Linked DNA regions of Callithrix jacchus. The protein of the gene in region 1 binds, or shares a complex with, the protein of each later gene. Links are inferred from orthologs where the notes say so. Each region holds a gene or a part of one and is shown in the gene's direction. Other genes may lie near its edges. The genes, in order: ACTR3 and ARPC5.

What was found.
Region 2: ACTR3 (region 1) and ARPC5 share a complex: the UniProt entries of both Homo sapiens proteins name them as parts of the arp2/3 complex. The link is inferred for Callithrix jacchus from reciprocal best matches to the Homo sapiens genes ACTR3 and ARPC5.

The regions. Positions count from the first base shown.
Region 1 is NC_133507.1:98,527,293-98,531,682, forward strand, and holds the start of ACTR3 (actin-related protein 3), read left to right. Parts: upstream 1-1,554; 5' UTR 1,555-1,764; coding exon 1,765-1,808; intron 1,809-2,095; exon of another isoform or gene 2,096-2,262; intron 2,263-4,390. UniProt on the Homo sapiens protein: ATP-binding component of the Arp2/3 complex, a multiprotein complex that mediates actin polymerization upon stimulation by nucleation-promoting factor (NPF).
Region 2 is NC_133519.1:41,806,129-41,810,678, reverse strand, and holds the start of ARPC5 (actin-related protein 2/3 complex subunit 5), read left to right. Parts: upstream 1-1,584; 5' UTR 1,585-1,679; coding exon 1,680-1,823; intron 1,824-4,130; coding exon 4,131-4,202; intron 4,203-4,550. UniProt on the Homo sapiens protein: Component of the Arp2/3 complex, a multiprotein complex that mediates actin polymerization upon stimulation by nucleation-promoting factor (NPF).

The DNA.
Region 1 (4,390 bases):
CCTTCCCTGCCTTCCACCTTCCTTCCATTCTCCCACTCCTCGCCCTCATTTCTCAGAGTCCTCAGTTCTCTTCTTTCTATTGCACTTAACACAATTTGTCTGTTTCCCGCTAATCTGTAAACTCTACAAAAGACCTTAACTATTTTCCATCCCAGGGAATATTCAGAGTCAGCAGAGTCCCTGCCATAATAGAGTAGGTAAGCAATACTTACCTGTCAAATGAATAAATGAAACACCCAATTCCATTTCCCAGGCCAGCTTAATACCACACTACACGATTTTATGGACTGAATAATATATCCCTCCTTCTAAAAAATATTTTTATTTTAGCTTCACATTAGTAAACTCAGAATGGTTTATCATAAGAAAATCTTGGTGGAGAGGAATGATATTAACCTTCTAGGTTTCTAAAGTGGAACTAGGAACTTATTAGAAATGTGAATTTCTAATTGCTGGGGTGTGGCCCAGCAATCTGTTTTAACAAACCTTTGAGGTGATTCTGATACACACTAAAGTTTGAAAGGTTTCTTTAAGGCTTTCCAGTTTTCTTTTTTTTTTTTTTTTTGGAGTGATGGTTGTGGGGGGTCCTCCCTATGTTGCCCAGGCTGGTCTCGAACTCCTAGCCTTAAGCTCTCCTATTCTTCCACTTTGGCCTTCTAAAGGATTGAAATTACAGGCATGACCCACTGTGGCCGGCCTCCGTTTTTAACTTAAAACTTTTTTTGGGGGGGGGAGTGCCCTTAATCCTTTCTATTATACTGCTAGTAGACTCTTACTACTCCTGAGGGGAATCGTTGTCATAATCTAAAAGCCTTGAATAAAGACCTATTTGGATGGCGTATACTATGTAGAATACATTCCTGGGAGGTTTGCCTTCCTTAGGGACCCAGGTCAGCCCTGGGAGGTGGAGGTTGGGGAGCAGGGCTACATTCTAAAGTCCTGTAACAATGCACAAGTACAACTGAATAAAACCCGCAACAAAGGCCTAAGGACCACGGTGACAAGTCTTTGTTCATCCATTCCCCGACTGCTCACCCTGATACCGCTCTTTTCCACCCAGAAAAGCAGCCACTCAAGTTTTAAGAATGGATGCATGCCGCAGACGTTTTCGATTAGACCGCTTTCTCCCAGGACCTGTAGGATATTCGCGGCTGCAGGAGGCGCTTCCACTCTTTCCCCAATCTAGCAAAGAAGCAACTGAAACTAACCCAAGGGCTGCAACCGAAAAGCCCCTTCCAGCTTCAGAAGCAGAACTAGAAGCTCGGCTAGACTTCGCCTCTATCCTCCTGGAAAACTCGCAGTGGATTTCACTAACTTCGGGATCGGAGCCCGGGCAGGCGAACGTACCTTATTGCGCATGCTCGCTGGCCCCTCCCGCTCGGAGCGGAAGGGGGAGCTCTCCGGGCCTGAGCCTGGCCGGGCCCGGGCGTCGGCACCGGCGGCCATCTTGGCTTCCCGGGGAAAGGCGGCGTGAGGGGAAGAAGTTGTAGGGTGGGGGCAGGAGTGAGGAGGAGGGAAGAGAGAGGGGGAGGAGGCCGCGGCGGGGCAGGGCGGGGACTGCCTGCCTGCCCGGGTTGCGGAAGTGATAGCCGCTGACCGAGCCTGCTGCTTTCTTGCTACTGCTTCGGCTTCCCGGCTACCCCCCGGACGGTGAGGGCGGCCCGGCTGTGGATGGTCAGATAGCGCCTGTCTCCCGCCGCCAATCTCTGGCCCCTAACAGCACGGAGCAGACGGCGGCAGCAGCAGCAGCAGGCTAGGAGGAAGATGGCGGGACGGCTGCCGGCCTGTGTAGTGGACTGTGGCACGGGGTAAGGGGGCTGACGGGCGGGGGTGGGGAAACTGAGGCGGAGGAAGGAAAATGGCGGGGGAGGGAGGAGACCGGGAAATGAATGGTGCGGCAAGGTGCCGCCGCCGGCTGTCAGTCCTAGCCCCGGCGGCTAGCAAGGGGTGGGGCCCGGAGCCAGGGCCTCGCCGGTCCCCTAGTTTCTCCCTCCTAGGACTGGGGCGGGGGCGCAGGCCCGAGATTCAACCTCCAACCCTCCCAGCGGCTTCCTCCGCGCGACCCCCCCCGGCCCTTCCCCCACTGCGGTGGGCTGTGCCGCCCAAAGAGTGCTGGGGACGGTCGCTTTGGGGGTGGTCCCCGGGCCCAACCCATCCGGCTTTCCTTTCCTTCCGCGCCCCTTTTCCCCGTGGGTTTGGGGGCCCAGGGGCCGTGCTCGGGGACTGGCCTGGCAGAGGAGCTAGAAAAGAGAAGCGCTCCTGGTAGGTTTTGCAAGATCGCTGTGACAACACTCTGCCCAGGGTGTGGGTGGGGAAGGGGAAGAATCGGACTCTGAAAATGGGAACCTACAGCGGGGCTTTCATTTGACCACCCACCTTCTCTTTTCGACTCCCGGTCATTTCCATCTCCCTCTGCATTTTAACCGGTGAACCAAGTCACATTTTAATTCGAGAGAGAAAAATGTCATGTGTTACTTCTGTAGCCTCAAAAAAGTCCCCCAGTGAGCAAGCGCGCTGCAACTTCCTTAGTTTTGTCAAAGCCGCTTCCTGCTTTCAGTCTTTTATACCCTTATAAGGTAGTTTTTCGTTTCCAACCTGAACACAACTTATTAGTACTTTTAAAATTAAGCAGGTTTTAAAGAGACGGAATTAACGGTGCTTGGTATTCATTCATGTAACTTAAAAAAATGTACTTGTGTTTCATGGAGAGGGGAGAAAGGAAACACCCTGGAAAATAATTTAAGTTGCATACGTTCCTTCTCTGATGGTATCTTGAAGGAAGGAGGAAGGAAGGTATAGAGGTATATAGGAATGTGTTTAAGTTGCACATAGTTACTCTTAGATCTGTAGAGCTGTTTGCTAAAATATAGAATGGCTTTAAAGTGGTCATTCATTTTGTATTAATAGACATTTTAGAGAGTTGTACCACACTTTGTATAACTACATAGAGAATAGGCTACTTTTATTTTAATGTAGAATCACTGCTTCACGATGACATATAGGAAACTGTTTTCTTTTTTCTGTGATTACATCGCTCTAATTCCCAAACACTCCCAGTTTTATTTTTGAGGGGGAAGGCGTGAGAGGTGGACTGCAAGGCTTTTAAAAAAATTATTGTTAATCATAATTATTAATAATATTCATTATTGTTCCTTAAAAGATTGTATGTCTTTCACTCTTTATTCCATGTAAAATTTCTTTAATCTTCATTCTCATAACTAGCTAGTGTGGCAGTTTCTAAAATCACAGTCAGGTAGAGAAACAACCAACTTAATATTCTCCCCAGGAAAACACTAGCCTAGATGAGCTTTGGAACATCTATGTATTTTTTTGATGAACACTTGATTAGTTTCTTCTTAATCCAGTCTCATTTCTCTGAACCAATAATATTTTTTCTTTCTCCCTTCTTCGTTTAATTGGTGAGTAGTTTTATGTCTAGGTTCAGTTTTAAAATTAGATTTGACCTGAGTCAGTAGGACTTTTCCAATATGTTTTGTTGAAGTGACAATATGGCTACATAATTAATGTTTTAGAAATTACTGAGTTGTCAATAAAAATAGTGTAAATAATTGTGGCCCTAAGAAAGACTATGGTAACATCTCAAGTAGTATGTTACTTTTATTCTTTCCATTTTTTCCCTTTTGAAATAGTTTCAAATTAGTATACTAGATGTCTCATTGAGGTTAACTGTCCTTAAGTGACCTCCTTTCCTAAAGGGCAACCTTGAATTTAAAACATGCTGAATGACCAGTAGGATCAGGGAGAGGGGTTCAGTTTAATCTAGGATATGTCTGTTTTAAAATTTTGATTTTTACAGTAGTATATTTTTACATTATTACATTGGTTTCCCCGACAAGGAGAGGTTGCTAACTGCATTCATGATTTTAATGGAACTGATTAGGAGTCCCTTTGCCAGCTCACTCTCTTTTACAATTTGTCACTACCTGAAAATCTTCCTTTAGAGTTTCAGTTATTTTGGTCCTCAAAAGGCTTTTTGGTCTCTTAAGTTGCCAGTGGTTCTTCCAGGAAAGTTACACCTTCAACTTTATTAACACATGGATAAGTCCTTGAGGTTGGGCCCCTGAGATAAGCATCTCTAAGTATGGCCTTAATAGGGAATTTTTACATTTCAAAATTCTGTGGTCCCCGAATGCAAATTGTGCACCTATAATTTGTCTATTTCTTTATGCTTTAGAGAATGCATTCAGCTCTTAAGTCTCTAGATTACAATTGCCCACTTAGTTTAAGCAAAAAATTATAACCTGAATCAGGTCGTTCATTTTATTCATTATATAAATTAGGGAAAAGGTGGCTGATAAAAAAAATGGTCATCTGTAAAACTTGATTGTCTTAGATAAGAAGGCTGTTAAGAGTTAGGAGACTTGAAACT
Region 2 (4,550 bases), on another chromosome or scaffold:
TAGAAGGAAAATACAAAAGAAAAACTGTCTCTGCCCTTCAGAATCTTTCTAGAAGATAAAGCACCACATATCATTGAGCAATTTATAAGACTACTGCCAAAACCAATGGTACAAGTAACATGCCTTTGACATTTATGTAGAATTTTAGAGCTTGGAAACCCTTCCATGATATTTAATCCTAAGAACGATCTTGTGAAGTACACATTATTAGCTCCATTTCAGTGATGAGGAATCTGAGACAGAATTTTAAGTGACATGCCTCATTCAAATATTATGAGTGGAAGAGTCAAGACTTCAGCCTGAGTTTTCTGATTCTAAGCCCAGTGTTCGACACAGCACAGGAAACCAAAGATTGAGGTACACAACAGGGCAACAGCCAGTCTTCTGCTCAAGGTCCAACTAAACTGGACCCACACCTGAGCAGTGTCCAGCCAATGTCCAAATTAATTTTATCCTGCAAATATTTGTTCTTCAGTGTAATACACACAGCACAACTACCATTTCCTTCGTCTTAGTAGTACCTTTATCTCCTACATTCCAGAAATGGGGATGTCAAATAATTTTTTAAAAATCTGGCCTAGATGGAATCATATCAATCTTAAATCATAATATAAATCTCAAAGGTCTGTTTTCCACTAATCCTACACATTTTTCCCCAGCACTAGAGAGCCTAACTTACCCTCACCCTCTTCGAGCATTCTTGCTCCAAACAACCACCTATTTTAAGATGCCAATGACCCTTTCCCAAATTCTACAAATTCACCCCAGTTTTGTAGAACCCGACCCCAGCGCCTGCCAGGACACCTTCCCCTCCCTCTGAATGGATATGATACCGAGTTCAGGTTCTGCAGATCCCGTCGCGATGCTGTCACACAGCACTGACAGATAAGATTTGACCTTTCGACTCCGTCCTTGGGGACCTCCCGCTGGACAAGTAGGGTAGTTCCAACCCCAGGAAACGGGCTTCCTGCTCAGGAACGCAGCCCCTGGCAGCGCACAGTCCGAGGCAACGTCTTCGGCAATTAGAACGATGCTGGGCGCCCGGGTGTGCATCACTCCGCCTCATACTCCTGCCAACTGCAGGGGACTCGGTCCGGCAGCCAGTCCATCCCACCCACAGCCAAGTCCCAGCCAGCCGGACCTTACGCAGGACCCCGATGACAGGTCGTTGATGGCTGCAGCAAAAGCCAAGGCCACCCGCCGCTGCTGCCCATCGCCGCCAACCTCAGACCCCTCAGACTGGACCGGAGAAAAGCGTTTCTATGGGAACCCCTGGGAATCACGTGACGCACTCGGACGACCAATCGCCTCTTACCTCTGCCCGCCGTCCGTCTTTCTGCCCTCCCTCTCGCCCCCGCCTCCTTCGCCCCGCCCCGCCCCTTTCCTGCGGAGAGCCCGGGCCTGCGCGCTGTGTCCTGAGCCCGGGCCTGCGCGCTCCCTCCCTCGCGCGCGCTCCCCGTGGAAGAGCGGGGGCGGCGTGGGAGGCGCCAGGAGAGCGTGAACCTGAGGAGGAAGAAGCGAGGCCGGCGCGCAGGCCCAGAACCGTCCGAGTCACGGCTGCCGGCGACGCCCCAGAACGGAAGAGGGAAGTGAATCAGGCGTCGGGCAGTGGGCTGCTGGGCTGGGCTTGCTGAGGTAGAGGCAGCAACAAGAGGCTTTTGCCGCTGGTCGGGATTGGGATGTCGAAGAACACAGTGTCGTCGGCCCGGTTCCGGAAGGTGGACGTGGATGAATATGACGAGAACAAGTTCGTGGACGAAGAAGATGGGGGCGACGGCCAGGCCGGGCCCGACGAGGGCGAGGTGGACTCCTGCCTGCGGCAATATCCTTGCATTTGCCGCCCTCCCCACCCCAGCCCAGCCAGCTCTTCTTCGGGGACCCGGGCGCCTGCAGGATCCGCGGGGCACCGGCGCGGAACTGCACTCTCAACCCGCGACGAAACCTATCTCTTTGGGGTCTCCCGCTCTGCGAGGGCATGGGGAGCTTCCGTTTCCTCCCCAGTAGCCGGGAGACGCGAGGGTCCCACTCTTGGAAGCCTGCCCTCCCCCGCGCGCCTTCCACGCCCCCCGATTCCTCAGGTTGCGCCCGAGTGCCTGCCTCGGCTACGGGTCCCGCCGGCCGCGCCCTCGCGGAGCAGGGGAAGGCGGCCCGGGCTGGTGGGCAAGGCTGGTGCCGAGCGCTTAAGTTTTTCTTCCTAGAACTCTATTTTCTGGGGTCACATTCTCTCCAGAAATCTCCGATGGTGGGGACCCGACGTCTTTCCATAGTGGCTTTGTTTTTTGTTGTGTTTTTCTTATTGGTAGCATTAAGGTAGTTTATTCCTTACTGAGGGGGAGCGGGGAGATGGAAAGGTTCGAAAATTGAGGCCTCCTGTGCTTTCAGCCCATTGGCTTTAAAAAAAAAGGGGGGGGGGATTTGGCAAAGTATACATTGCACAGAATTTGTTAATCGGGGGAGGAGAATGAATACAAAAAATACAAAACTTGGAGCCTTTTACCTGCTAAGAAAAGGATAATGAAAAAAAGACGGGGAACGCATGTGGAGAATCCTTGGAAATATTTAAAATAAACCCCAATGAATAAGAAGATGAGTCATTTGTATAAAGCAGAATCATTTTTGTAATCCTAAAATTGATTCCATGTTAGTTAAAATATGGCTGTCAGTTCCTGGTTTCTGGTTTTTGCATATTTGAATATTCATCAATTTTGATTCGCGTATGCATCGGATCTTTTTTAGAGCGATGTAAATGCTGCAAAAATCCGAGGCTGTCGTTTTAGAGAATCTCGGTTACTGGGTTTGCATGCACTTCTCTTGAGTGTATTCATAAGGAAGACTCTCCTCAACAATGTCCTGTTAAATTATATTGGGGAGATGTGTGAGTGAAAATGTTTAATGGCAACTGTATTCTTTTATAAAGGCACCTAAATACAGCATTAAACATTTATCAATGTATAGGTATTGCTTTGATTGCCACAACTTTCACAGTTAGCTGTTGCTCTTTTGCATTATTTAAATACTTCAGTGCTTGGGGGTCATAAAGAAATGAGCCAGTCTACGTAAGGCATGCTTCTCTAGAAATCCCTGCAGCTTATCAACCAGAGATTTTGTGTGTGTGAGACCTTTTTCTTCAGAAGATAAAGGGTGAACATTCTTTGTAAAAACATTATTTGAGATGGATGATGTTTTATGAAACCCCAATGTATTTTAGGTAATTTGTGGTGACTCTTAAATGTTACTGCTGTATCCCTATCAGTGGATCTGCTTTTTCATCAGTTCATCTTAAAATATAAAGATACTGTCTCTTCTTACTCTTACATACAGCCAGGAAAGACAGCCCTAGTGGTGGGGTGCTGGAGATGGAGGAACGAGTGAACTCTGTGGTTTTCCTTTTAGGGGAATGGCTGAACATTCTGACAGTCTGATTGGCCTTCCGTTTCTCATGCTTGCTAACTCACTAGTGCTTTCAAAAAGAGTCTGAATTTAATAGGTATGGTCTAACACAGTTTGAATAACCTTTGTAAAATATGAGAGAAAGTATCTAAAGCAAAAACTTAGGCTGCCACCTAAGGGTCATATGAATTATTACATCTTCTATGATGCCTCTTTTCATCAATATTGAGAGATTGCTAATGTCTATCATTCAGATGGCTAATCTGCCAGCATTTTCTACCAGCATTTTAGTTAATATAGAATATAGTTCTAGTAAAAGTTTGGTCTTTACTTTTTCAACTAGAATCACATGAAAAAACATATTTTAGTTGATAATCGGTTATTTCATTTGGGGGACTAATAATTCTGATACATATCTTAGGGTTTCTTCTTAGGGTTTCTCCAGGTAATGTTTGCATATGTGTCTAACTGGGAAATGAAAGATTATCAAGGTATTCATTTGATAGTTAGAACCAGGGGCGAGCCAGTCTTTGCTTTATTAAAAAGAAATTCTAATGTTCTGTTTTGCTTTTGATATTTTGCCCTTGATTAACATCCTAGAAACCAACACATTGAATATCTGGTATTGAACATGGTAACCAAAGTAATTTTCTTTTTATATATAAAGTCTTAAGAACCGGTGGTTATAATGCTTTCCTGGGGGCCATCCTTTTGTTGCTATACCCTTAACCTCCACCACAGGAAACATGACAGCTGCCCTACAGGCAGCGCTGAAGAACCCCCCTATCAACACCAAGAGTCAGGCGGTGAAGGTGAGTGGCAGACACAACACAGTGACCTCTGAGATATCTTATTCTTAGCAAACTCTTCTGCAGTTGCAAAAAACAACAACAGTATTTTTTACCTTTTTCTATCTTTGACATAGAATAGCTTCTAATGTAGTTTGATAGGCAAGAATTTCACATGAAAAAGTAGCCCTGTAATGTAGAGTTACAATAATGCTGCGTGGTAAGACACAGTAAGTTCAAATGATAGTGAAATCATCTGTGTGTGTTTTTAGAGAAGACCACTCATGCTGAATTTAGACAAAGGCTTGAAAAATAACAAACCTTTACAAAAGTAAACAGATTGTAATTGCTTTTTAAAGATTTTTTTAAAAA